Schizosaccharomyces pombe: one gene and its partners. The gene in region 1 interacts genetically with each later gene. Each region holds a gene or a part of one and is shown on either strand. Other genes may lie near its edges. The genes, in order: rgf1, mtl2, bgs4 and art1.

The links.
Region 2: of rgf1 (region 1) and mtl2, extra expression of one rescues a mutant of the other (dosage rescue), as found in Schizosaccharomyces pombe (one study listed by BioGRID).
Region 3: of rgf1 (region 1) and bgs4, extra expression of one rescues a mutant of the other (dosage rescue), as found in Schizosaccharomyces pombe (one study listed by BioGRID).
Region 4: of rgf1 (region 1) and art1, extra expression of one rescues a mutant of the other (dosage rescue), as found in Schizosaccharomyces pombe (one study listed by BioGRID).

The regions. Positions count from the first base shown.
Region 1 is NC_003421.2:1,241,069-1,249,970, forward strand, and holds rgf1 (RhoGEF family guanine nucleotide exchange factor Rgf1), read left to right. Parts: upstream 1-4,117; 5' UTR 4,118-4,194; coding exon 4,195-6,876; intron 6,877-6,922; coding exon 6,923-8,245; 3' UTR 8,246-8,402; downstream 8,403-8,902. Other genes in the region: RhoGEF for Rho1, Rgf3, read right to left, coding at 1-2,144; tudor domain and nuclease, Snd1, read right to left, coding at 8,489-8,902. UniProt on the Schizosaccharomyces pombe protein: Stimulates the exchange of Rho1 and Rho5 GDP-bound form into GTP-bound form. Controls septum formation, cell wall synthesis and localization of F-actin patches. Coordinates actin deposition with cell wall biosynthesis during bipolar growth.
Region 2 is NC_003424.3:3,956,155-3,964,091, reverse strand, and holds mtl2 (protein Mtl2), read right to left. Parts: upstream 4,344-7,937; 5' UTR 4,195-4,343; coding exon 2,584-4,194; 3' UTR 1,178-2,583; downstream 1-1,177. Other genes in the region: HECT-type ubiquitin-protein ligase E3 Pub1, read right to left, coding at 1-340, 483-627, 679-701, 753-769; SPOM_SPAC2F3.16 (ubiquitin-protein ligase E3), read right to left, coding at 5,486-6,025, 6,088-6,192, 6,248-6,580, 6,650-6,949; P-TEFb-associated cyclin-dependent protein kinase Lsk1, read right to left, coding at 7,677-7,740, 7,792-7,937.
Region 3 is NC_003421.2:2,252,313-2,259,139, forward strand, and holds the start of bgs4 (cell wall and secondary septum 1,6 branched 1,3-beta-glucan synthase catalytic subunit Bgs4), read right to left. Parts: upstream 4,341-6,827; 5' UTR 2,835-4,340; coding exon 1-2,834. Other genes in the region: SPOM_SPCC1840.13 (uncharacterized protein), read right to left, coding at 5,457-5,855.
Region 4 is NC_003423.3:2,362,551-2,368,981, forward strand, and holds art1 (arrestin-related substrate adaptor for RhoGEF, Art1), read right to left. Parts: upstream 3,264-6,431; 5' UTR 3,181-3,263; coding exon 1,729-3,180; 3' UTR 1,265-1,728; downstream 1-1,264. Other genes in the region: PPR repeat-containing protein Ppr3, read right to left, coding at 1-453, 536-790; SUMO deconjugating enzyme Ulp1, read left to right, coding at 4,567-6,273.

The DNA of each region.
Region 1 (8,902 bases):
AACAAGTGGATGTCCAACCAATCCAAGCGGGAATCACTTCTACGTTGAACTATTCCTTCAAAAAAGAACTCTCTTTCAGGATCCCTTAGCTCTAGATTGACACTTTCATGATTTTTAAACAGAAGTTGATACGATAGATCGCGAATACGATTGGCCTCAAGTACGGTAGCTATAACGGCATCACATTCCTCGCAAGTTGCTCTCAGTTCTTTGACAGCTTGAGTTATTAATTGAAAATCCCAGCTGGACTGCTCGGTATGCTTTAAAATTGTATCCAACTCAAGCGTGTATCTTTGTAAACGTTGAGTAGGTCTTTGCAAGAAATGCTGGAAATCCAACCGACGACATCTAGGATCTGATCGACAAGCAGCAAGCCAACGTGCAAAGTAAGTATTCCTTTGACATTCTAGCTTATAAGTTTCATCTGCTAAAGGGAACTGTTTGGCATAATTAATATAAGAGGATTTAGCAGCATGAATCCACTCTAGTAAGATATCACCAATAATTGAAACTACTGGGCCCTGGAGACGTTCCCTCATAATTAATTGTGGTAAGAACAGTCGAGAATGCAATTGTCTGATTGATTCAACATTTCCAAATACAGATTGAATAAAGTCAGCCACTCGATTGCTGGGAACAATCGCATCTTGCTGCTGCACAATTCCGTCCCTAAACAGTTCAGCTAGGGTATTTAAGTCTGCAACGTAATCAGATTCCTTACAAATAAGCTCGTGGATATTATTTTGCCTAGCAATCTCTCTTTTACTGAGAGAAGATGGTAATGAATTTAGAGAAGAAATGTTCCAGAAAATGCTCCAAGTATCGCTACTCTGTCCTGGCAGAGAAGTGAATTCAAGCGACGAGTTACGAGCACATCTACAGCTATAACATTGATATTTGGAAGGACATGATCTGGATCTACAAATGTAAGAGTAACAGCCGCCGTTGGTCAAAAATGGAAGTACTCCACTACCAGAAGGAGGTTCATTAGATGTGAAAGCAATTTGAAGCTTTTCAAGATTTATGACTTCCACAAGACCGTAATTAATCCAATCACCAAGGATGTTTTTCGCGATAATTTCAGCAATCAAAAATTCCATAGATGCAATGTGAATAGTAAATAGCGTAGCCATCACCTGAGCTACTTCTCGACGAGACACACCTTCGTGGACCAGGCCACCAAGAGCAGTAAACACTTCTTCTTTGCACCATTTGTATAATTTACCGACCAACCAAGGTTCTCTACAGCTGCTAAAAAGGGTTTCCGATTGAGCACGTCTGTGAGTTCGAGTTATCAAAGGAGAAGAAATTTTTCCAGATGCATAGTCTTGGACAGGTATCTTTGGTAGCTGTCTTGTAGAGGAAATATCAGATTTTAAACTATAAGGATTTGGGGGTGTTAGATATTCGACGGAAGGGCTTAAAGGCGACTGTGGACGAAGAGCGTCGCTCGAGTAAAGACGAATCGGACTAGGAGTGCGAGCCGGTGATCGAGTAGGTGATAAAGGAAGATATGGCTCTGGTGAGCAGGATAACGATATGTCATTGTATAGAGAGTAAAGACTAGTGGAGGATGTGGTGCTGTAAGGAGAAGAATGCGAAGAAACAGAAGAAGGAAGGGGTGGACGTGGTAAAGGATGCACTAAGGACCCACCAGGAGAAACAGGCGTTTCAGGTAATGGACGAAACGAATCTACAGTATTTTGTTTGTTTCCAGGAGATGTTAAAAAGGGGTCCGTGTCAAGCGGGTTGTTAGGACTGAAATCATCAAATAAGGCATTAGGAAATGAAGAGTAAGTAGTATAGGCTGCAGAATTTTGAGGTTCATTCGGCAATTGTCGATACGTTGTTCTTGATGGAGATGACTGAACCGTGTAAGACGCGACTCTACGAGAGTTAATGGATGCTGGATGTTGAGGAGGCGAATAAGAAAACCGATGGGGAGAATTATTCGAACGTTTAGAAAGAAAAGGAGGAGAAAAGAGTCTGGTGGTAGAAAAGTCGGAAAACGATAGACGTTTCTGAAAAGATGGTGGAGAAGAGGAATGAGGAGGATAAGTGTCCTCTGAAGAGTCTAAACAAATTCGGCTCTTTCCACCATGGTCTTTCGAGCTCCGATGAAAAAGTTCATTGGAGAGCTTCATAAAAGAAAAAGTGGTAGGGGGAACCACAATCACCAAAAATGACTAGGTCAAAAAAGAACTACAATAATATTTGAAGAATCAAGGCAAGCTAAGGCCAAATAGGAGTCAATTTCAATTGCAATCCAAGAAAGAGAAAGGTCAAAACTAAATGTTGCAGGATGGACAGTGCAACAAAAGAGAAAAGAGAGGTGAAAAAAGATAGAAAAAGGAATTGAGAAAGAAGAGTATAAAAAAAAAGAAAGAAATGCGAAGAGAAATTAATAAATGGAATAAAATAAGGGAAAATAAATTAAAATAGAACAAATTCAGTGTCAATGGAATTCAAAAAATGCAAACCAATCTCGTACGCCCTCAAAAAAAGCAATTTTATAGTAAGCCGGAATGAAAACGATTGATGCTTTCAAAGTTATGCGATGAACCAGAGAAACTCCCGTCCTCTATTAATAAAAGACTTTGACATAAAATTACGAATACAGAAAGAAAGAAAAAAAGAAAGAAAGAATTGTATCGCAATATCAATGCAACAGTCTGTTTATTCGGTTTGTGATGCCACAATAAAAGGGTTAGGGCGGAAGGAATAATATAGGATGATCTGATTGAAACAACCCAAAAAGGAAAGAAAGCTCCCAAGCGTTTCAGAGGAATCAAGTTTCGTAGGTTTATAGACAGAGAAAGAGAGAAAGCAAAAGCAGTATATTATGAAAGGTAATGACTTGATCAAAAAAACAACCTCTTCTAATGAAACGTTTGGGATAAATCAAAATCGATGCCTAAGAAAAGATTATAGGACTTTATGGTTTTTAAATATATGTGTAAATGTTAAATAACTTATAACCCACCACCAAGGGATCTTCGTGGACGGCGAGCGGAGTGGATAAGAAAATGGCTGGTTGTATGTTCGCGACGGAAGAACAAAATTGGTCTTTGACTAGCAAATTTTCCAAATTTAGATTACATGATTTAAACGATAAATAGGGCAAATAAAGTGTACAAAAAGATATTTGATCAATTTATATGATGTTGAGCACAAGCTGAATAGTAAACAATGCGAACGCAATTAAAATAAAATAAGTCAATACAGCATAGTCATAGAAATCGATCAATTGAGGTTATCCGGATTAAAGCTAATTATTTTAGATGATGTTTTTCATATTTGTAAATCGGTAATACAATTATGAGCTGGTCGGACAGAAAAAGTGAGCACATAAATTGCAGCAAGTAGAAAAGCAATAGGCAATATAAAGTAAAGGAGTTCATTCATGACTTCCCTTTTTATATAAGCGTTTTTTTTTTTAGTGGAAAGTCGACCAGGATGCAGTTGAATGTTGATATTAACTTTGTTAGGACTAGTGAAAATTCAGATTTGTACTTTTTTTTTAAGGAGTTCAAGACTTTTTTACTACATATTCAACATTGAAATCACCTTATCTATAGAAGAAGTAGATAAACTTAGCCCAAAACAGCATACTGATGACTTATAGCTTCTCATCCCTTCATAATATTAATGCGGTTTACTGCTGCTGTAACAATTCTTCTGATATATTAAGTATACGTATTTTTCCCTTCGAGGATAATCTTTTCTTAATATACCTGTTGCTCTCTCAAATTGCTAAGCAGACAAGTAAACAAATCAATTGTTTCATTGAACGAACCAGGACGGCTATATAAACTTATTATTATAATTTAAATCAAATTTTAAACATTCAACTCTGGAAACACTAACAAAAGCCTTTTTTTATGTCGCCTTTTAGCATGTGTTTCGAGTGGAAACCCTCCATGCAAAAGAAATTGAAGGTGAAAGCAATATACTAAAGCAAAACATTAATTCATCAAGCAATACGCAATTTACATATTAATGGTCTTTGATTTAGAAAATCGTATAAATTAGAATTTTTCATCATCTTACCGTTATAACGAGTTCGTAGCTACTTTCGCAGAAAGTTTGTGGTCAAATTATCTTGTCTTTTTCTCCACCACCAAACCCTCGTTTTCACGGGAAACATTCAGCATTGTCGATTCGATCGTCAAACTGATTGTTTTTATAGTAGCAATGGATTACCGGCATCCAAATGCACTCGGTGTGAATGAGAGCTCGCGTGCTTATGAGGAAATTTTTGGTGCTCCAAGAAAACGGGAGCCGGCGAGAACTGTAAGTACTCCTGCGTTCATGGAACCGGCTCCAGTCTCAAAAAAACCTCTTCCTCCTCCCACGCGAAGGCTTCCTCGGAAACCTTTGCCCTTTCGTTCCACGAGTTTGCAGCCTCCATCGTCTCAACCTCCTGCACCTCCAACTCATCAGAGAGAAGCATCTCCTGTGAAAAATATTGAGCACAGTGAATCTTTTCCTTCCGTTTTTGGTACTTCAAATAATCACCAGATCGTCCCATTGACTCTTAAAGACGGAAATGATTTTGGTGCTCTATATGCATCTTTAAACACCACACCCCATTTTCCTCAGGTATCGAATCATGCGCCCAATAACTCTAATTCCCCTTCTTTGACTTGGCACACATCATCCGGTGATGATTCCAACCAAAATCCTTTTTTCGTTCGGCGTCAGTCTCAGAGTAGCACGTCTCCGGTTTCGGATTCAGTAGATGAGAACCTCCTTTCAGCAGTCTCTTCTGTTACAGAGTCCGTAGAAACAAACCTTCATCTCGATCAAAATTATCCTTACGGCTCTCCTGTTCGTTCGTCTAAAAATCCCTTTCTCTCTTCAAATTCTCGATTACCAACTGATGATTCTTCTCACACTGTTGGTTCTCATTCATTTACTTCAGGAACTCACCCACCCATTGTTTCTTCTAATTCCGCCTTTACACTTCCCAATGCTGTTACTCCTGCAGCTCAAGCACCTCTCATACGTAGTGTTAGTGAATATCCTGCTAACGTTTCTCCACCTGCCCAGTCCCTTCAGCTACCAAAATCTACTAGCAATCCCGCGGATCTTCATTTAAGCATAGCTTCTGCTAGCAGCCATAAGAATATTTTTTCTGGGTTGGACGTCTTTTCTAATGTCTTTCATGGTCCCTCTACCACATTACGAGACAGAGAACATGATATGCGAAATCGCTCATTTGATCATTCTACCTTGGCTCATTATGAAGCAGTTAAGCAGCAGAGACTTGGTGTTGAACCTACTGCAAGGTCCTTTACGTTGAGCTCTTATAAGTCCCGTGCAAGTGGAAATTCCCTAATTAATGATCGAAGCTCTACAACAACGCCGACGTTTGTTAATTCGGAAGCTAGCTCGCCTGTTCATAAAAATAAACGAAGACGCAGAATATATGCTGCCTTACTTTCTCGTGTTGCCAGCGAATTGTTAGATAGACTACAGCTAGGTGATATCACGAAAGACGGTTTAATTTATTCTAATGCCTTTACTGGCGATCATGCAGTCACCGTGCTAATGGGTATTATACATACTTCTGATAGAAATCTCGCTTTACTTGTCGGACGCTCTTTAGATGCACAAAAATTTATTCATGATGTTACCTATGATCATCGTCTTCGTGATTCTCATCGTGAAATATATCAGCTTCAAGGTACTGGTTATCGCCCCTTCTTACGCGCAAATGATAATGCATCCATTAACAACAAAAACCATCATAAGGAATTGGAGGACAATGAGTCGGGCACTCGAATCTCACCGTCCACGTTAGGTGACACTTCTTTTCCAAATGGTATATTTACTTTATTGACGCATTGTTACTCTCCAACATGTGCAAAAGATCATCCCTGCTATTCTATTTCATGTCCTCGACGATTGGAACAGCAGCACAGACTATTTGCCAAAATGCGTGCAAACACTGAACAGTCTTCCTCCCTAGCGTTTGATGATAAGGAACAAAAATTGTGGATTCACAGCGTACCCCAGGAGATTGCTTATAGTGTCAGTGACCGGGAAAGAAAGCGTCAAGAAGTAATTTGTGAGGTTATCTATACTGAGCGAGATTTTGTTAAGGATTTGGAATATCTTCGGGATTATTGGATTAAACCACTATGGGCTTCATCTTGTATACCTGAACGAAAAAAAGAAAAATTTATTCGTACTGTGTTTTTAAATGCTTTAGAGGTTCAAGCAGTTAATTCTAAATTGGCTGAAGCTCTTACTAAAAGACAAAACTATAAACCCATTGTGGATAATATTGCGGATATATTTTTGGAGCACGTTCCAAAATTTGAGCCTTTCATACGATATGGTGCAGGCCAACTCTACGGAAAATACGAGTTTGAGAAGGAAAAGTCATCTAATCCTGCATTTGCTAAGTTTGTCAGTGACGTTGAACGTCTGAAAGAATCACGAAAGCTAGAGCTAAACGGCTATCTGACTAAACCAACTACCAGATTGGCTCGTTATCCATTACTTCTAGAAGCGGTATTAAAATATACTGATGAGGGTAACCCTGATAAACAAGACATTCCGAAGGTCATTAATATCGTTAGAGGATTTCTCTCACGTCTTAATGTTGAAAGCGGAAAAGCAGAAAATAAGTTTAACTTGTTTCATTTGAATCAACAGCTGGTCTTTAAACCTGGAGAACATTATGATTTACATCTGCTTGATGCGAACAGACAATTAATATTCAAAGGACCCTTGAAGAAAAGAAGTGCTGGTTCCACTTCTTCAGAGTCTGCGTCGGATGTTACTTTGTTTCTCTTTGACCATGCTTTGTTGATAGTAAAACCAAAGACTATTAATAAACGTGAATTATTGAAAGTTTTTCAAAGAGTATGTTTTTTCTATTCATTTAAATTGTTTTTTCTAACTAGTATAGCCTATTCCTCTATTACTTCTTCAACTATTCCTTGTTGATGATAATGGATTAAGAATCCCTTATTCAAGTAAGCAACAACTAGCAGCTGTATCAAAAGCAGCGAATGGGAAGCCACCTTCTAGATTTTATCCATTTAGCTTACAACTTTTGGGTCGTAGAGGGTACGAAATCACTCTTTATGCAACCACTGAAGTTAGTAGGGATAAGTGGTTAGAGCATATTGACAACCAACAAACATTGCTACAACATCGTAACCAGTGGTTTGAGTCTGTTACCATTTGCTCTAATTTCTTTGTTGGTGATAATAAAGTAAATGCGATAGGCGTTTATGATAGTGGTCGTCGACTTTTATATGGGACTGACACAGGTGTGTACGTCTCTCTTCGAAAAGCAAACAGCCCACTTCAATTCAAGCCTGTACGTGCGTTAAATATTCCCAACATTTCACAGCTTGAGGTTATTGAAGAGTATAGTTTATTGCTACTGCTTTCCGATAAGGTGTTATATTCGTATCCTTTGGAAATGATTGATGCGGATACTACTCAAGCCCCTAAAAAAGCAAGGAAAGTTTCTGGTCATACAACTTTCTTTCGCGTAGGAATTTGTCTGGGTAAAGTTCTTGTGTGTGCTGTCAAAAGTTCCGTCTTGAGTGCTACTATAAAGGTTTTTGAACCAGTCACTAATTACTCTAAAACACGGAACATGCCAAGCTTGAAAAAATTCCTTACTGTTAACCAAGACCCATTGAGGATTGTCAAAGAGCTTTATATACCCACGGAATCAACTTCGGTTCACTTCCTGAAGAATAAACTCTGTGTCGGATGTACGAGAGGTTTTGAGGTGGTCAGTCTCGATAACCTAGAGACGCAGTCTCTACTGGATCCAGCCGATACGTCTCTTGAATTTGTGGAGAAGAAAGAAAATGTTAAACCTATCGCTATCTATCGTATGAATGGCGGTGAATTTCTTTTATGCTATTCCCAATTTGCTTTTTACGTAAATCGAGATGGATGGCGTTCTCGTCCTACATGGTTTGTTGTTTGGGAAGGAAGTCCTCAAAACTTTGCCTTAAGTTATCCTTATATATTGGCTTTTGAACCCACTTTTATTGAAATCAGACATGTTGAAACCTCTGAATTGATCCATGTCATTTCCGGCAGAAACATCCGTTTGCTTGCTGATGGAAGAGGAAAGTTAGGGGACGGTGGTGAAATATTTTATGCGTGCGATCAACGTGGTGAAAATTGTGAGACAAGTGTTGTTTGTTCCCTTCGATTGACGAGTGCTGCTGCCCACGCCAAAGAGCAGCATGTAGACAAGTAATTTTGGTTTTTTTGAACTTAATTTTCACGTTTTATTTATAACGGTTAATTGGATATTGGTTTGTTCGGTTATCTTTTCTTTTCTTTTTTAAAAAAATAATTTAGGTGCATGAATTTTAATGATAAATAAGATTTTTTTAAAATATATACGTTAACAATATTTTAAAGTGAATAACTAGATATATTGTAGGCAAAAAGTACTAGCGAATATGATCAATGTTACTATACTAGAAGTAAAATATTTTTAGTCCTCATATTCTAGGGGATCACCATATACCCAGAAACCGATATGATTTAGACGTGCTTCTTGCTGATGCTCTTCTAGAATATTGAGGGATGCGGTATCTTTTTCAAAGTGAGATGTTTTTTTCTTGGGAATAACACTAGCCATGCCGAGCGCAACCAGTTGGGCATTAATACAGTCAGAAAAATCTGAACCATCACTAGGATTATACAAAGTTACAGAATACACGTTTCCTTCGTGTCCATCGACTTTAGCCACTAGACCTTTATTCATGGCTAGCTCCCTGAAAACGAGTCTTGCGTCTTCATAGTAATCAGAGCTGGGAGGAGGTAATTGAACGTAACTGAGACGAGCAAGTTGCGCTTGAGGCTTCAATTTAGTATAGGTATCTGGTAAAGAGGATATGTTTTTGAA
Region 2 (7,937 bases), on another chromosome or scaffold:
ACGAGAGGAAGCAGGGTTACGAGACACACTGCTACTTTGTGAGCTTTGCGGGTCATTGGTAATGCTAGTACGTTGGGTACGTGCACCTGATGCTGCACTGGATGGAACCTGTAAGGTTGACTGCGCAGTCGTTGATAAGTTTATGATTATCTTGCCATGAACTACTGTATTCTCATTTGACTTTTTCAAATCGCGGGTCAACATTTCATCACCTCCAATGGCGAGATCGAGCACATCTCCAACACGAAGATTTATCACTCCTAGAAAGCCTTGGCCTTTTTTCTTAAATTTTTTCTGATCGAACACCTGAATCGCAATGGTGCTATTATCTGTAACATTACTAAAGAATTGTTAGAAACATTGTTTTTAATCAAAAAGTTAACATTAGCTAAATTATAAGGGATAAACTGGAAGAAACCCCAACTAAAATTGATATACATAAAAGTTACTTGGAAAGGTCAAAACCTGGGATATACACTTACACTTCAAAAGTCTCATTCCAATAAGGGTTTAACGTCTTTTTGATAGCAGTTGTGGTATGTGTTTGCTCACCATCCACTGTTAGTACCGCAAACGGGTCAGGAAAACGAAACACATCTCGTTTGTAAAGGCCATCAGCAGCAACAACTATTTTGGGTCAGCGTTTGCACAGGGCATTTGAATAATGTCATCACATACTTGTTACTCGAATTCGACGAGATCTAATCATAAAAGTTAGCAAATGTGTTTATAGCAGTTAAAGAACTACTTACTGAGCTGAGTTTGACATAGGGGGAAAAGATGGTAAAATTTCAAACCAGCGTTGCTTTTGGATAATAAAAAAAAGCCAATTTCCCAAAGAAAGTCAAGTATTTGTGCTTGCAAAAAAAACTTTCAATTAAGGCCGTTTTATCCTTTCTATTTGATACAAAAACGCTTTTTTCGGGAACGAAATAAATAAAAAAGAACTACAAAAGGAATCCTTAATCAAATTCGTGCTTTCAGCGCACAATTTTGAAATCCGTCGGATTTCGCGTGGTGTTGGCTGAAAGGAGAATTAATCGGTCTTGCAGATTAGATCCTTAACGCATTATAACCCATTTCCTTATATATATACAACGCGATTACCAAATTGTTCTTTATCTTTTTTGGCGTACAGAAAATACGTTTTACGTGTTAACTACGAAAGTAAATATCATGCAGCACAATGTATGATTTGCAAGCTATAAGCATTTAATAAATTGATTTAATACGAAAGAATGAGGAAAATGTATATCTAACCACTTTGCGTTCAAGTGATAGTTAGAACTGAGAAGAAAGAGAGGAAACGAAGAATTGTAAAAGGTACATACAAGAAGGCAAACGGAGTGCCGCGAATAAAAGTAATAAAGCCAGAACTTAGCAACAACTCTTAAACAGACAATGCTCAAAATTTTTATTTTTTAATTATCAGTAGTCGAGCATGCTGGCCAAAACAAAGTTAAGTAAACATCCAGCCACACGAGAGAAAGTAGAGCTAGATGGTCCTCAACATGACGAAAGAGTAAGAGCGATAAGTGCAGCGAAGGGAACGTGACGCTCCATTACATATACGAGACGGTGAAAAAGGAACGGAAGGAAAAGAAAAGGAAAAAGTACAGTATGTACATTTATTTCAAAGAAATGAGATAACGAGATTGGTTAGGCGACTGAAAGTAAAATTGAAATGGCTGGTCATAAAGACTATTTGCTATCCACTTTCAATAACAAGAAACCATGGGATGGAAAACAGGTAGCTGTTAAAAGTTTCATTTCGTTTTACACTATTCAGGAAAATTGGCTTTCCGTCGCATTTGACAAGAATTCGCCATTCTGTAAAGAAATGTACAAATGAAAAAACAAAGCGAAACGGCGAATGAAACAGAAATGATTGATAAGTAATGAAATGCAAATGAGAAAAGGATAAGAATAAACAAACCAAAGAGACTTTTTTAAGGGTTGTATCTCACTACAGTGAAACAATTGAAAGAAAAATTCAAAAGTCAGTCAAAAGATGAAGTCGATTTAAAAGCAATAAGTTAAGGAACCAGATGACATATTTAAGACTTTGAATGAAATGCAAGCAACGAAATTTTCTTAAAAAAAGAGGGCCATGAGAAAAAGCAAATAGTTAAGTTTAAAAAGAAAGTTTGAAAGAAGGATAAATAGTTTGCTAAATAACTCCTTTTTTAAAGAAAGTAAACCGACGGACCAATTGATTGTATGAGATGGTATAAGCGAAACCCATAATAATAACAAAGCTTTGCAATGAGAATGTGAATTTCTAATACCATAAAACTGTTCAAGCAAAAAGGAAATGAGTGAGTAACGGTAAAACAAAGAGATAGCAATAAGATTGAAAAGATCGATTACTTAAGATTTTCGTAAAAAACAAAGGTAAAAGCCGAATAAAGAAAAAGTTGTTATACGAAAAAGTGATGAGCAAGCTTTTCTTCGCAAGACTTTCTACCATCAATTGAAGGCAAGCGTAACTAACGCATTTATTTTAAGCGACGGATATATCCAGAAATTGTAAACAAATAATTTTTGCTTAAATCTATCGCAACAAGTGTTTAAGCGCATACTTTAAAACAGGTTCAACCTGCGAGCTTCCGATGACGACCGAGGAATAGAAACGTTGCTACTTGATGGGTTGTCAGCAAAAGGTGAATAATTGGGCTGGTTAGAAGCACCAGTGCTTGTTGGGGAAAGAAGATTGCTTTGAGATCGACTAGACAGAGCTGCCCTCGAGCCGTAAGAGGATTCTCCAGCTAAATCACTAGCCATGCTTTCACTGTCACTTTCAGGAATCGTAGCTAAAGGACCTTCTGGATAGGAATCTGAACCAGAACCACTGTGTTCTGCAGCTTCGGCCGCAGCTCCAGCGGCACCAACAGCAGGGCCTGACTCAAACGGAGATGCAGACAAACCTTCAGAAAAGTTGCTTCCATTAGATGGAGGCATTGTAGCTTCAGCTTCGTTAGAAGCAGAAAGATCAGGTGGATTTCCAATCGGTCTAACCATACGGGCTCCTTGAGGACGAGTAAAGCTTCCACCAGTATTAGCTGCATCAGAAGCATCAGCACCGACACCAGCAGCGGTAGCAGCTGCAATTGGACCAGCTGAATTACTACTGCCACCCAAAAGGCCGGGCTGAGAAGCTGCAGGCGGATTGGCTCCGCCAGCGCCGGCAGAAGGTCTAGGAGCAACAGGCCGTCCGTTAGTATTGTTTCCAGCAGCAGGTGTTGGGCTTCCATTCCAGCCACGATACCTGTTATTAGTAGAGGGAGCACGATTTGGGCTACGGAAATTGGAGGGTTGATTGGGGTTAAATCCGTATTCCTCGACTTCTTGCATGCGCTCAGCCTTAATTCGTTTGGACCGTTGATGCCTTTTCCAAAGAAAAATTCCTAAACCAATCAAAATTAGAACTACACCAACAGGAATAGCAACAGAACAACCAACAACTACGCCGACATGATTGCTTGACTTGTTAGATTTACTGGGCAAAGTGCCACTGGAAGAATAAGAAGAGCTAATAGGCGTAGACGAAGTGCTGGAAGTGAAAGAACTGGAGGAATTCCAATTATTAGTAGTAGTGGGGGTCACCACTTCAGAAACGTAAGAAGTTGAGACCAATGTGATTATTGAGGGTCCATCTCGATACGTACTACTGACAATGCTGGCTGAAGAACTCAAGCCGCTCGTAGTCATGGAAGAGCTGTGGTAGGAAGAACTAGATGATGGGACACTAGACGAATGGCTTAAGGAACTACTGGACATCCCACTGGAGGAACTACTAGCGACAAGAGAACTACTGCTGCTGCTAAGCGCGTGACTCGAACTACTGGAGGTCGGGGAAGCACTGCTACTGGAAGTCAGTGTAGCACTGCTACTAGAGGTCAATGAAGCACTGCTACTAGAGCTTTGTTGGCTGCTTGATGAGACCAAAGATGTGATAAAAGAAGAAGAAGCAGGAGAAGTAAAAGATGAGGATGAAAGAGGTGAAGACGATGATGAAGAACTAATTGCAGTAGCACTAGACGATGAAAGCATAGAGCTCGAACTAGAAGGAATCACGCTTGAGCTACTCAAACTCGTACTAGCAGCAGCAGAAGAGCTGCTTGCCGGAATACTGCTAGAAGCAGATGAGCTGAGGGAAGTGTCCACACTTGAAGTATTGTTCGTGAATGACATTTTCTCTTGCGTGCGAATTCCCTTACAGAAAGAAGGTTTTTTGAAGTTTTTAAAAGAACGTTGGATTTTTTTTCTAGAAAAATAATAAGATCTCGTCCAATTTCAATGTATCTTGATGAATTCCCTTAAAAGCACGGTGAAGAGTAAGCGGTAAAGAGAAAATGTCGCGGTCCTGCTTGGCTTTGCCTATAGGTAAGGGTGATGCACTTTTCAATGTGGGGATTCTTTCCGAGTTAGTTTCGAGGCTTTTTTTCACCTTACCAATATGTTACCTATCAATGCTCTAGCAAAGAACCTTAAAGTTACGAACCAGGTGAAATTTTACTAAGGCAAATTATTCATTTCAAATGGCTGGATAAAAAGAGATCGCCGTTAACTTGCGCTTAATGAGAAAGCTACCACAGTTTTCACATACTGCAATATTCATATAGATTTCCCTAATTTTAAATTACTAAACATCCGCAACAGTAGATGCCATTTACTACTGGCTTGAAACATATGGCTGCATTTGACACTATCGTTTCCACGCGGTAATTGAGTTAACCACCTTACATAGTAACAATGTATTGAAATTTTATTCATGCCAAATTAAATTGATATAGTAGAAAATTAGTATTATCGCTTCATCTGACTAGTAACTCCGACTAACAACCCATCCACGTTACTAAACCTGCTCTTAAGAGACAACTGCAAGTGTGGTAAAAAAATTTTGTAGTTGGATGCTGCTAAAGAATCACAACGACAGATAGAAAAGTAACAAGAATAGTTGCAGTAACTTGACGAATGATCGCATCTTCTAGACAAAAAGTCAGTTTAAAAGGAATCTGAAGGATTAGATGAATATGGAATGACAATAAACTCTTTATTTAATGAATGCCAGCCGTAAAAAAAATCAAGACAAATAACATATAAGTCATAATAACAGGAAATTGAAATATTGAGAGAGGCCCAGAATTGCATGAAGCAAAGTCCTTATGTTTGCGAATGTTTCAAGACACCATAGCTTCACACAAAAGTAGATGAGTTTAGATTAATTAAAACAGAAATTCTCTTCATCGAGGAAATTTAAGCGATTTACTTCATACCATCGCTTGACTTGTTGAGAAAAAAAACCATATAAGAAGTAGATGCAAAAGGACGAGAAAAGGGAATAAATATAATCAGACAATTGGGGTAAACGTTAAAAATTCGTAATTCTTGCAAAGAATTGAATGAAAATAGCAACTTTTCCAAAATAATAGTACATATAGGATAATCGTAACAGTTTAGGAAGTTCATAAAGTTAGAAAATCTATATAAAACTGTGAATCCCGAAAATATTAAAGTCTTCATCGCTGTTGTCCCAAGAATGTCCCATTAGCCGTCGCATACCGGCATCCTCAGCGGTTGCCAGTCGAGGGATAGACACCTGTGGGTGATCCAAAGGTTTGTAAATTGATGAAATACAAGTATTGTAAGAATGACATGAATTACATTTATGACCCAAGAAATGGTATTTCGTATCACAACGTGAGTTACAGTCATTGCAACGGATGGTAGAAATCCAAGTGTTATAGGGATAAGGCATGGGTTGTCGTTCAATTTCCATATCTAAAATTCGAAACAATGAATTGACATTAATGATCGTTTTGTAACAAGTAGGACAACGATAATTGGTTCTTATATATTCTTCATGACATCGCTGGTGCAACGGATGAGAGCAACTTAAAAAGATTACGCGTTCGCGAGAGTTAAACATGTATTCACCACAAATTGGGCAATTACAATCCGTACTTCTTTCGATGCAACGATGAGTATTGAAAACCGAAATAGGTAAACAAAGGCCACAAGTCTACAGCTGTTAGAATATGAGTTTAAAAAGCAAAGCATGTGCTAAAAGTACACGAAAGTTACCTTGCAGTGGAAATAATCATCGCCAAGACCGCGTCCTATTCGACAAATACCACAATCATCACAATGATAGCTACTTTTATTCGGATCGTCATCCCAAAGTTTGCACTGTTAAGTCATGTATTAGTGATATTGAACAAGTATCAAATAAAATATCACATACCTTATTGCAGTAATATCGGCCCATACAGTTCTTACAGTATTTGCAATATTGAGCTGCTGGTTGAACCTTGGAACATATCATGCAAAGCATGTTTTCTACGGCAGGTCGTTCTAAAACATGATCACAAGCATCGTTGTGACAGTGACGGCACGTATACCACTCGTGACAATCGAAACACTGAACCTTGCAATTGCGCATGTAATGAGAACACCCTAAAATTTCTTGCTCTTTGTCATAATAAGTCTTTTCAAGATCAGATGAGCTCAATTGGTTCTCATCAGATTCTTTCTTGTGAGTTCGTCGATATTTTAAATAACCAGACATCAGCATTTTCTACAAAGCCAGTTTAGTAATCTTATTTTCATTTAAATCTCACTTTTATGATTAATTTCATGTACTTACCTGCATAAGTAAGGCCTTTCTCTTCTCACTCAATTGCGACATCGATTGTATTTCGTGGATTTTTTCACGTACGGAATCTTGCTGCGTTAAATCCACTCCTTTCAATATTTCTTCATCTTCTTCATCTTCTTTTTGCTTTTGAACTTCAAGGAATTTCTTATTACAAGAGTCATCAGTCCCAACATCCTCTTCAGTAATATCTTTCAACAGGTCAGGAGGTAGTTCGAATATTGAGGTTAATTCTTGTGCAGCTTCCTCAAAAATCTCAGCGAATTCACGAAGATACTCCGACAATGACATCGACTTTTTTTGTGTTTGTTTTTTTTGTTATAATGATGGTTCTTGATCAAAAGGAGAAGGGGAATGCTTACCTATTCCTCGATCAGTTCAGTGTTGACTTATAGTGTGGTCCAGTGCAATGCGGAATGTGATATCCGTGCCATCACACTATTGTAAAAGCCGTAGATATACTTTGATCAATTTTAAGCTACGCATTCAAATAGTAACTTAATTTTTGCTCTCTTAATTGTTAAATCATCATTACTAAATATTTGAGCAGGCTCTTGAGAACATCTGCACCTTAACATTATTAAAAAGTATATGTAAACAAATTATTATTACTACGGTTGACTGATTAAAAGAAAACCACATCATAAATTCATACGAGTCCTTTGAATTTATCTTTTTTGTACACAGTACCAAGCTCATTTCAAGACTTCAAGCCTTTGATTTCTAAGTTCTTAAAAGGTGAAAGAGTTATAATAGTCAAATAAACCAGTGGAACATTTAATTATCATGAGCTATTAGTGTTCTTATTTCATCTTTTTCGGAAGAAAAAGAGAGCAAAAAATGAAAAAAAGTTGTCCAGCATCAGACAAATTTGTTACTCTGCCTAGTGTTAACAAAATATATAGAAGATAGACCGCAGTAAAGCGAGACAAAGAAATTAAATGAAATATAAAGATTATTTTTTTTAAACATTTGTCCAGCTTGCATAGCTTCGCCTTGACAAAATTTTCTGGCTCATTTATCTTTTAGATTTTCGTTTTTTACTTTCCCATTCATGCCAACTTCCTTGCATGTTTTTCAAACTAAACACATAAGTTAGATAAATATCATTCAACGATAAATTTTATACTTACATGACTGCTGGCTCTGGAGGTGGGCTCTCAGAAGTGAAATACTCATGCATCAAGGTCTCATGAGCTGACGGTCTACAAAAGGGATTTAGGGCAAGGAGTTTTTGGCATAGGTCAATGGCGGCAGGACTTAAAATCTCCTTAAAAGT
Region 3 (6,827 bases), 1.0 Mb from region 1:
GGATGAAGCTGTTTCAAATATTCTAAAAGGGTGACACGAGACAACTGGTCCTCTTCTCTAATGATTTCTCGCAATGATAGAAGAATTTTCTCAGCATAATGAGGAATCAATACAGTGAAAGTAGGCATGTTGTCAACAGGTACTGGTTCTGGAATGGGAGTAGCTAAAGATTGTGCAAAGAAAGAAAGACGACGCTCTGCCTCTGAATTTGCAGGGAAGAAAGTAGTGTGAACAATATTATCGTCCTGAGAGACAAAAAACGTAGGGGTTCTAAGAGTCCTACGTCCTTCTTCAGCTGGAACTTGATGATACAGAAGACGTTGTACATGATCAATGGAAAGTAAATGTTCACGATACATAGAAATGACAATCGCATTCCAAATTTGTGAAATTAAAATTTTAGGTTTGTACTTAATTTCCATGTCATTCGTGGCCAAAATTTTACCATAAATTCTTTGGGGCATACGGCTAAAGATATTTCTCCATGGTGTGAGGATCGAAATACCTAAGACGAATGATCTTAAAACAGAGAAGATAGTATTGAAAATAATATACCAAAGGTACGTATCCAAAAAGAAGAGAATCAAGTCAGTAAAATACATGATACCCAAAATGATCCTTGGTTGGACAAAACATAATCTGCTACCCGCCCAATAAATAGAGCAAAGATAAGGTCGCATGGTACTCAAAACAATAATAGGATCTCTGATAGACAAGGTAAGGAAGAAATAAGATTCAGCAAATTTGCATGTGAAAACACAGACCCAAATAATAACAGAGAGTGCTTGGTTATCAAATTTTAATGGTGCAAAATTTGAAGTGAAATACTTGTTTGCCAAGTATTTACGAGAATCTTTCACGGACAATTTTCCAAATGTACTTTGTAGAGGTACAAGAGAAAAGTAGACGTATGTAGCAATAGACATCAAAAATGCAACTACACCAACAGCGATACGTCGACCACTACGCTGTTGATGCTTACTTGAGAAACCGAAGATATAGACGATAGGAATCAAGTTAATGATAGCGATTAAAACAATGATACATAAACGCTTCCAAATGGGTTTTGATCCAGGGAAACGACGGGGGACAAAAAGATATTCACACAAAGAAGCAGCAGCCATGATAATACAAGAAACAACAGAGGTACAAGCAACAGCAGCCCATTGGGAAGCACCTGTTGGCTTGGGACCATCGCGCTGATGGAAAGGTTTTGTGTAAAGAGTAGGAGAGTTGAAAGCAGTAAAATACCAAAACATACCAAAGTGGATGACCCAAATACGATTGAAATTGGTAATAAGATGAAACCAAGAACGGGATTCATAATAAGTTTTATAAAAAGCACGATTCCATTGAACTTCTGGAAGCCTATGAAAACGCTCAGAAGCAGGAATATCAATAAGACGAGTGCCGTCTTCAAAAATAAGACGTGCTATACCCTCAGCATGCCAGAAAAGTTGGTTAATATCATCGTATCCAATTAACTGGTCATGTGGACGTTCCCGACGTACATATTTCCCATTGATAATTTCAAACTGCTGATCGTGCATATATTGGTAGAGTGGGGAAACAATATTATCCAAGTAATATCCTTCAGGAACTGGTTCAGTGACGTTTTGTGCCTCAGGTGAAATAATATAATCGTAAGCACATTTGAAAAGGAAGGCTATTACCTCAGGCATGAAACGAACATTGTTTGCCTCACCCCACAACAAAAGCCACAATGCAATTTGTTGAGCACGCTCGAATTGAGTCATTGAGCGCATGTGAGATCTCCAACGATATTCGGCGGATTCTAAAGAATCATCGGTATTAACATCAATGTATTCGTCTTCCGCCTCCTCGGGTTGCTCCTTTTTCTTCTTGCGCTTGAAGCGAGACTTCCTTGGAGGCTTAACAACTTTAGGGGCTTTTTTGTTTCGAGAAAAGAACTTTCCTTTCTCTTTGATAGAAGTAACTTTACCACCATAAATGCCAACATTAGCAAGACCGACTGCATCTTCCCGATCCATCTGAGAAGCAAAATACCATTTTTTATAGTTAGCAATATCACTACCAATATAATCGGCATGAAGCGTAAGCAGTGCTTGATCTGGAGTCATGCGAGAAGCACGAGAATCTAAAAGACACATAAAAAAATCATACATATTACGCATGGAATCGCGTTGGAAACCCAATTTATTGGTTAGATCAATGAATATGTCTTCAATCTCTTCCTTAGTTAAAGGGAGTTCGTTTTCAGGAGTCCAGGCAGGATAAGGCTCACGATTTGTGAGATTAGCGCTATCGGCATAGAATGAACCACTATCGCCATCCAATGGGGTACCTGAGCCCGAATTACCAACAAAAGAAGAGTTGCTAAAATCATACGGACTGCTACCGTAAGGCACACTGTTGTAGACGTTAGCCAACGAATCGGAACTAGGATCATAAGCGTTGTATCTACCATCGCCTCTCAAATTGTAAAAATTGTTGGCATCTGAGGGCTGAGCATTGTAATCTGAATACTCAGACTCGTATTCATCTGAAGGACGAGTAAATTTTCCTTTTTCAGTGGAATATTGATTGATACCTGAAGAGGCGGTGTCGACAGGAGTGTATTCATCTCCATAACTTTCAGTTACACCAGTAGGGTAATCATACCCATTGTAACCCTCTCCATACATAGAATCGTAGTCAGCCTGATCCAAAAACTCCTCATTGGAATACGCATCAGCAGGCTGGCGTTGGTATGCATTTTGGTCATCATAAACCTCTGAATCGTAAGCGTACTGATCATCCGAGACAGCATCATGACCAGTAATACCTGAAACATTTTCATTATTTCCAGACATTTTCTACTATGCTTAAAACTTGTAAATAGATTGAGGAATGAGGACTAATTAGAAATATGGTGAAAGGAGTTCCCAGTTAAAGAATAACGAACAGAAAAAAGAAAAGAATGAACAATTTCAATAGGAACTGAAAAGAGGGACTGATGACTTAATGCTTATCCGCTCTTGTAAGCCAAAATGAAAAAAGAACCAATTAATGGATGGAATAAAATATCAGAAAAGTAAAGGAAAAGAAATAGAAATACAAACACTAAAAGAGAAAAGCTTCAACAAACAAGATAAGCAAACTCCGTGAATGATCAAAGTGACTTATCTAAAAGAAATTCACTCCGTTAACAGGTTGAAATGACGATAACCGTATGTAAGGGTGGATAAGCGTCAAGTTTATAAATGGCGATATATGGGTAGATATTAACGAAAGAAAATTTCTAAAAAAAGGAAGGAATTCCCTGTAAAAGACTGTAATGAAAAAGAAAGAAAGGAAATAAAGGTAAGCAGATGATTTGCCAAAGCTTTGAAATAAAATTTAAGTAAGACAAAATCTACTCCAATGCGATAAAATATCAAGAAAGTAATGCACTAACAGATGCGTGTAAAACGGAGAATGCCACAAATGATGAACCCAAAATACAAGAGAAAGGAATATACAATAAATTTTGAAACTCGGAAAAAACCGAAGAGCTCTTAATTTTTTTCACGCTAAAATCACTGTATAAAACCCTTTGCAAACAGTACGTCTATTAAGACAAAGTAAAGAAGGCTCAATGGACAAAGCTCCTAAATACCAATGTCTGTCGATTCAACAGATGAAATGAAGAAGCCAGAACTTTAAGAAAAGAACTAGATGCTGTTGATTCTTGGGGATAAGATAACTTTCTCTCAGTCTTTTTCTTTGATTTAGATATAAAAAAACTTCAAGGGCACTCCAAAAAGAAGGGGAGGGGAAAGATTTTTTTTAAAGCGGGAAAGAAGCGAGAAGAAAAAGGCTGGTGGGTATAAACGAGGAGTATCCGCAAATGATCGTTATTATATGAAATTAGCAATAATAATAATAAAAGAGAAAAAAGGAAAACTTTGAATCTCTCAAAAGCAATATGAAACGAATAAAAGACCGTCAAAGTTCTTTTTACCACAAGGTATAAGAATTGAATAACGGGGAGGTAAAAGAAGAAGTAGAGAAAAAAAAACGATGAAGCAAAAACAAGTCGGAAAAAAAAACCGATGCCTGTTTGTTTTCACAATCAAGGAAAAACTTTTGTTGCAGTCCAGAAGGCAAATGGGGTCTTGCTCTTTTTTCAAAGGAAACTTGAAAAAAGCAGGCCTAGTTGCCTCACACGAAGGAGACTTTAATCGGGAGAAAAGAGAATAATTTAAAAATACGGATTGTTAAACAGTTTTCCCGATATGTGAATCCTATAGACGTTTGTTTTCAACCAAACTTCAGGACTACGCAAACACTTTCGAGATGTGTTGTTGGCGGAGGGTAGTGTTTGGTTCAGGAGAGACGGCTGGCGTACGTTGCAGGACCACCATATAAATCTTAACGAAACACAATAAAAATACTTAAATATTATTAAAAAACTAATATTTAAAAGGGTGACTACTAAGCCATAAAAACCCCAATGGAGAGGAGTATCGAAGTAGTAATCAGATGCAATTTTTATCAAGACAAGCCGGTCCTTTTATAAGCAGCGTAGTTGGTCTTGCTAAGTAATTCCTAATGTTGATACCAGCAGCTCGCAAAATATATGTATCAATTAATAGAAGGAGGGATAGTTGAAGGCAAGAAAGAGACTGCAGAAAACATGAGCTATTGAGATGAATAAAAAAAATTATAAAGTTAAAAAACTGAATGGGTGAATTACAAAAAAAAGACAAGAAAGTAAATAATTAAAATTTGTTTGATATAAAAAATGAGTACGATGGAAGTAAAGTTGTCGAATAATCAAAAAGAAAAAATATCTAAGCAAGAGAAAAATATGCAATAGAAAAACAGATCAGATTTTTTTATTTAAATCGATCGTCTTTCATGAAAAACTAGCTAATATTTAAATGTATTTTATTCAAACCCTCTACGCTTTAGCAGCATTAGCGGAACGAATTACGTTTACCAACATTAGGAATGTCTTTTCATTCAATTTGCACACTTATAAATAAACATCCTGCTGCTATTTTCGTACAATCCTACTATGCACATGCTTTCGAGCAAAAAAAAAAAATAAATAAATTAAAATTAATTAAGTTAACCCTACAATAGAAAGTGTAATTTTTCGGTTTTCACTATAGTGAAATTTTTAGTGACGGTTTCTTGCCATATTGCTAGAATCGTATGTAAAATACTGGATATGGTGTGGGATGGAAGAAGCAAGAAGGTGGCAGAAGAGAAAGTAGATAAGAAGAATGGGATAGAATATAATGGAATCAATGTGTCATTGGAAAATTCTTTAATAGTTCTTTTACGCTTTTTTTTTCTAAAAAGCTTCGAGGTGCAACATTTTTCTTTGACTTACTACCTAGAAACCAAAATGTAAACAATCGGTTATGTACAATGTAAACAAAGGGAAATTTGTTGTAACCATTGATCATCCTCTTTGCTACACCACTGATTGGGAAGAGCTGAATCTACAAGTAACGCTGTACCATTATTTCTATGACAACCGGTAACGGGCTCCGATAGGGTAAATAAACAAAGCTCGCTACGAGTAAACAATTGGTTTGTTTGGAATTGGCATATGGGACCGATAATAGCGGCTGGAAAAGGAAACGGTAGAAAACGTGAAAAGTATATGAAAAGAGCAGGCTAGATGAGATAGCAAAAGGAATAATGGGTAAGATAGATGGAAGAATAGAGTTGAGCGGGGAGAAAGATTTGGGTGGTGGGTAAATGAGGAAAGAAAAAGGTCGAATTATTGGAATGCAAAGGCTGATTAAGCGTAAAAGTTTTAAATCCTTTTTCAATGGCGCAAAAACTAGCCTGGTATATACATGGATGCATATTACCAAGATCCTATAAAAGTCCATTTGAAATTTCGCTCTTTTTTGGCTGTCCCTTCTACTAGGGAAGCGGCCAAAATTCCTATGAATAGAATGGGGAAGATGGAAAGGCCTGGTTCCTTGATATAGCGTGGTTTAATAGAATATCCTAGTAGAACATTGGGTATTGCCACAGAACTCGCAATGCAGAGCGGTGGAAAAATAACCGTGTACGGGAATTGAAAAACCATTGATGGAAATGGATGCTACGGGGATTTTGGAATGCAAGCAATTATAGCGAAGAACCGGAATCACATTAAAAAATCTAAAAAATTCATCAATTCTCCTTAATTAGATACTATACATTCAATCTCTCCATGTATTCAAATCTCTTAAATTGAATTCGTCTATTTCGCCAATTGTCAATTACGTTTCCATACCGTACATTTGAAGTAACGTTAAAAATATTTTAAAAAAACAAATTCATTCGGTTGCATGTTCCGATTCTAGTAGAACGATATTATTTGAAAATGGTTTCTTTCTTCTAGTCTACGAATTACCGATTTTTTTTCTCGTCATGAAATCGCCCGCCATCGGGAACTTAACGAATCAATTGTACTATAGCGTCTCGGTTTAAAGACGGAAAGGAAATTTTAGTTGGTTTGCTATCGTAATTCCCTGCCAAAAGCAATGTAAAACGGGAATCCGAGATAACAGCAACCCTGGGAAAATCACTGTTTCCTATACCGGTTTCTACAACATTATTCTATAACATTATCCAGTGAAGTTAAGACTAGCGGTGGTAAGTTAAGTCTCCTCATTGTTTACACATCGCCTTTCGTCCTGAATGCTAGCGAATGTTTTCAAAGAAGTTGATTTATGGAAATCGCTAGACATTCAAACTGCGTAGTATAACAAGCAGCGTCGGTTGGACGATACATTGGCGGAAATTTCAAAATTAAAAGAATTTACTTCTCTTGCTCTACTACATTTCCTTTTTATCGCTTTATTTTTCTAATA
Region 4 (6,431 bases), on another chromosome or scaffold:
TTCCATAAGCAAGACAAGCAAATCAGGCATAACTTTCATACCACTTTCTTCAACAGCTTTCCAAATTTCTAGGGAACTTTTTGAAATAACAGTTTGAGGAAGATAGTTAAAAAAGTTGACTATTTCTACAATATCAACCCCTAAAAAGCATTTAGGAATGTTTAAGAGATGGCGAAGATGACTGTTCCATTCTTCGGTAGAAACCTGACGATTTAACAACGTATTGTCATTAGCTAGATTTGAAACAATATGATCGACTGAATAATTATTGCTGGCTGTGTTCTTAGATTTCAATAGCCCGATTCTCGTAAGTAGAAGTGGTCCAATTTTCAATGGAGTTGTTCTCCTCAATTCGTGGTTACCTGTAGATAAATGATTTTCTTTTTCCTTATCATAAGAGTTAACTTCTGATATAAATTTAGTCCAAACTTCATCAGGAATGTTAAGGGGAGACTATGCTAACGTTAGTAAACAAGACAGTATCTTTTAGCAGTGTTATTTTGTACTCAAACCCTTTATTTAATAAATATTTTACCTTTTTGTTTATGTCATTTAGCTTAACATCCTTTAACTTTTGTTCGTATTCACGTATTTTCAGATCTAATTCTTTCTGTGCCAACTTCCAAGATGCCTCATTTGTTGAGCATCTAGCTTGTATATTATTGTTCAGGAGATTTTTAGCAATATTAATGTTATTAGGGTTATCTTTATGATAATGTAAACGTCGGCAAGGACCACAAAATCTTCTAACAGCTAAAAGTGTTAAAGAGCCAGAACATTTGTTTAGCATAAGGTACAGTAGCTTCTGAAATCTCAAAAATTAAAGATGTTTGATCTTTTTTCCTGATAAAGTAGTCAATAATATATAGATATTAATACCTGGATTGAAACGTATATTTTGTGGATGGAAAGTTAAGTGGGTATTAAACGCTTTGATAATGATCTCGTATTTTCATTCCTCAAAAGAAATTTAATTGCTAATATTTTAAACTTTTACTTCTGGTTATACTACTATAAGAATGGATTATACAAACTTAAGGAAGAGGTGTGGAAAAATTTTACTCACAATGAGCTTAATATCTAATAAAATTGTAACTGATTTAAGAGTGTAACCGTATACTGGGCTATTAGATAACAAAATGCAATCGTTATATATATTAAGCCTTACTCAGATTTAAATGCTTACTACATCTTTACTTTCAAAGCCACATACATGAAAGTGGAAACGCCGACATAAGTGCAGCCGATGTGATATTCAAACCACATAAAAAAGGAAAGTAGTACATTATATAAGCAGGTTTAAAGCTGTTTTTATTAAACTAAAACCTACTCTGAATAAAGTGAGATTTAAACTGTTGACACAATTTAAAATAAATAGTCAGTTGTACAAAAAAGCAACCAAATAGTGACCAAAAGTCCCACTTGCTAAATCTAGTGAATAAATAAAACAATGAAGACATATTCAATAGAAATTGATTTGATGTCGAAGAACAGGAATACTTTTTAAAACAAAACAAAAACAAGAAGACCATTATTTTTACTCATAGCTTTTGAAACCAAACAAAAAAACGAGGGACAAATAAATAAACAAAGTGGGTATTTAATTGCAAACCAAAGGCTTGCAAATATCGAAAAACACAGGGAAATACAGAGGTAAGGCTTATGATCAACAATATCGGGATTTACATTTGTAGTAAAGCACAGATTGAGCTTGAAAAATGTAACTTCCTAAGATAACAGGACAATGTCATCATTCAAATAAGCAAACATATTATTTTTGGAAAAATCTGAAGCTCGCACAATCCTAACGTTTTCTTCGAGGACAACGCCTCCGTGGCTTTGGCGAACGTCAAGGACTCGGGTTTGAATTTCATTAAGTAAGGCTTGACTTCGTGATCGTTCCACTGGGGAAACAATAATTGGGTTTGTTATTTCAATGTTTCTAGCACGATATAATTGTACTTTGATGACTAGCATGTATTGTACAGAGTAAAGATCAGAGGTGGTCGTGAATCCAGTGATATTTGCATCTTCAAAATCAATGTCGGGGAAAGGTTTAGAAAGGCTTTTCGATAAACCTTCCGATGTAAGTTTCATATCATCCAAATCTTCTTCGTAACGTAATACTTTCTTTTTACGAACTATTGGGCTTGAAGAAGAGGGATGTATGAACGTGATGTATTCAACCAAGGAAAGAGAAAGTTGCTGTACTCGTATTTTAGAACCATTATTAGGCATGATGGAAACGAAGACGGAGACGAGATCCGAAGGTCCAATACACAGTTTGGGTATTGATACCTCTACTACAACACGACCATCGCTACTCACTTGCCGAATATTAGTAGGGGAATTATACATCCCCCAAGAAGATAGATTATCATACCTGCTGAGTGACACTGGTACAGTGGTAGTAATATCCGGTACCCCTAGTAAACTCATGTGAGCACGTAGTTCATATTTCGTGGAGCATATTGTACCAGACCGATTCAATTCAAAAGTCGATGGAATTTCTGAATTTTCGGGAAACGGGATTTCAAAGGGAAGGTCCATTGACCATACCCTATGAGTAGCGTAAGGATCTGAAGAAGAAGAGAGTATAGGAGTTTGGTCACCAAAAGGAGTGATAGATGTGTCATTAGAGGAAGATGTGGTGGATACTGATCTAAACGGAGTGTAAGGAGGTTGATATACCGAAGATCCAGAGGCATTAGGAAGATGAGGTGGAGGGATAGGTGGAGTAGTACGGTTATGAGTATGAACAGAAGGATTATCCTGATCAGACGCATAAGAATCTACTATCCAATCGCTAGTAAGGGAGGGTGGAGGTGATTTGATAGACAAATCGCTGATAGAATAATTATTATCATTAGGAGGTATGTTATTTTCAGGATGCTCGGAATGAAGTGGAAACAAAACCTGCCTTGCCAGACACTTATTATCTGATAAGTGATTACTTATACCCAAGGATGGTATTACCACTGATTCAATTTTCCATAATTCTAACGTTATTTGAACCAAAGCCAAAGGTTGGTGAATTTCTTTACTTCGAACTTGGACGATACCAACCAACCTTGGAGCTGAAGTTGGTATCCCATTAAATCCAGCTTGGAAATCCAAATGTGGTAACGGACGTATCTCCAAAGGAGAAAATTGCCGTATTAGCGTACACGGGGATGTCATGCTCTTACATTTAGTGAGTTCCTCTGGCTTGGTGCTGGTTATGGGAAGTTGAATCTACCAAATGGTAGACAGGTTGGTTCAGTGCAGCAATGTCAGATCTAGATAGCTAAATAAAATCTTTTAAGCACTCGCTTAAACACTGCTAAGTGACTTTTTATAGCAATGAAATTAATAATATTTTATTATATAAAAATCTAATTTTAGGCCAAAAAATGTACTTTTGTTTCCATTCCATAGAATTAAAATCAAAAGCCTACAATTGATAGCCAAGCATCTAAAGCTAGTATCTGTTGTAAAAAAGTTCCATTTTGATTACAATAGTAAAAACTAAAATGACTTTAATAGCCTAATTTTGAAATTGGTATTTTCAACTTAAAATTCACTTACGAAAGCCTAAAATATGTTTATTCTTACAGCAGAAGGCTTTTTTTTTGAATTTTTGAATTTTTGAAACCATAACACACGATTGATCGCAACATACATATACGAAATATAGAAGAGAGACTGAATTCAAACGAAAACAATATAGCAAGATATCAGATTATTGAGCAGCAGAAGAAAGGGAAATAAAGCAAGTAAATACTATTTTACTAAAAATCAAACGAATCTCTAAAAGAACAGATATTTCACGCATAGTTAACAGACAATGCATAACAAAAAATTCAAAATCGAGAAAAACAAGAATCAAGAGCAACTGGTAATGCTAATTTTTGATAGTTATATGAGCCGTAGTATGATAAAAAACCCCGGCGATAATTGAGGAAATTCATTGCTGATGTACGACTCTTTTCTATCTAGGAAATAATGATTGTTTGAAGGATAACCTGAATATAGGGCTTTCTGTTCATTCAAAGATCCCTTCAGGAAGTGTTAAATGGTTTGTATAAAACTAACTCACATTTTCCGATTTATCTTTTCATTTTCAGGGCATATATCAGAACTTAAAACAATTTACTAGTAGCGATACGCTACCACTTACTTATTAAACGCTTAAAAGAGTAACACAGTGTACTGTCATGAATGTATATTTTATAAAAGCAATATGATATTTAATTTACATTAATATACTTGTAAGCTTCTCACGGCTAAAAGTAGTGATAGCCCACATTGAAGTAGGATTTTAGTGTAATGAAATCAAACACAGTAGGCCCTAAAGATAAACGGACACTTACATGTTAAGCAACATAATTTAAAATCTTACAAGCAAAGCTAGCGGCTCGAAAGCCAAACATTGTAATATAAACACAAAAAGTAGTTTGTTTACAGTAAATACCGCAATACTCGTATAACGAGGTATTTTCACAACGTAAGCAAGAACGCGCTCATCCTTCCAGGTTGTTGTGTGTCACAGCCTCTCGCGATTCACCCTTTACAATTCACTCGTGAATGATAGGAAAACGCAATGCGTCAAAAAGGACGCGTCAGGATGATTGTATTACATATGAAGAGTATCAAAGGAAACGTAAAAAGACATTTTTGAACACGTTTGTTAATATTTGTTCTCGTACAGTTACTTATGCAAAACTTTTTTTGACAAAAACTCCCATTTCTGAATTGGATCGCATCGCTGGCGAGGCGATACCATCTAATAGTAATAGTACAAATTCAAAACTAGAGCCTTCTACTAAAGCCCCTGAATCTCGGTTTTCTCACATAAATTCCAAGACTGAACGTGGTTACGTGACGGTCGAATCTGATATGTCTTCTCACAATACTCTTGACAGAAATAGTAAACCTACCGTTTCTCATTCATATACAAATTCTAGTAAGGATGAAAAATTTTTGGATCCCATTGCTCTTCAAAATCTATTTTCCCCTGCCTCTGACACGCATTCTCAAAACATCCATGACGAAGCATTATCTCCATCAAGCTTTCGTGTGTCTCGTTCGAGATACTTCCCCCGACCTCATCGGTCTTCCAAAAATTTATCTGTTAGTAATCGGTTACAGCTTGCGGTTTTTAAGGAAACAACTTCATCGACATTATCCCACGGTAATTCCGTTGAGGCTGACGAAATAAACTCTTTTAATCCTACACCTTTCTCTTCTTCTCCTCTGCACTTTACGAACTCCTCTCCAAATCCAAACTCTGACATTGTTACACCGGACAAGCAGCTAGATGTTGTTAGCGAACACGCCAGATATAAACACCTTCCTTTTACGGCTACGTTAAGAAAGAAAAGTCCTCATGATTCAACGTCTCGGAAAGCCTCTTTTAGGTTCGTTCAATCTGATCAGCAACCAGCGCGGAATATCGTTACTTCTGATATCCAAAATGAAAAATCATTACTGTTGCTAATTCGAGATTTGAAAGAAAAGCAAACAGAATCTTTTCAAGATTGGAACGAAGTTGACTTTTTACAATTAAAAGGTTTGGAAATATCTCCACCCCCCACTCGCCCCAAGTTCATTCCGGAACTTGAGTTTCCTGATAATGCTCGAAAGCGTGCACTGAAATATTTAAACCAAAGCAATTCTGTTTCCTCTTCTGAACCCATCATCACCAAATTTAATATTCCAATCACGCTTAAAGACTTGCATACTCTGCGGAATAGACAATGGTTAAATGACGAGGTAATTAATTTTTACATGAATTTGATTTCGGAACGCTCTAAAATTGATTCATCCTTACCTCGGGTACATGGGTTTAATACTTTTTTTTATACATCTTTGCAGCGCCGTGGATACGCGGGTGTTCGAAGATGGGCCAAAAAGGCACGCGTTAATATTGCAGATATGGATGCTGTATTTATACCAGTACATCTGGATGTCCACTGGTGTATGGCTGTTATTAACAAATCGAAGAAACGATTTGAATACTGGGACTCGCTGGCCGGAAGCCCTGGTAAAGTTTTTGATTTGTTGCGCGACTATTATATTGCAGAAACAAAAGGTGCCGTCGACGTGTCAGATTGGGAAAATTTTATGGATGACAATTCTCCAAGACAACGAAATGGACATGATTGTGGAGTTTTTGCTTGTAAAACTGCTGAATGTGTATCTAGAAATGTTCCTGTTCAGTTTAGTCAAAATGATATGCCTGAACTACGAATCAAAATGGCAGCTAGTATTATTGATGCACAAATCTATTAAATATGTGCTATAAACTTTTTGTCTATATACTTATCGTTTTTTATATTAATTTCTTTCTCGTTCAATACATTTTATTTCATATTCAGCGTTTTCAAAAAGGACATAATTTACTTAAATCTATATTAGAGCGTATGCATTTTTTAAGTAGCAGGGAATAC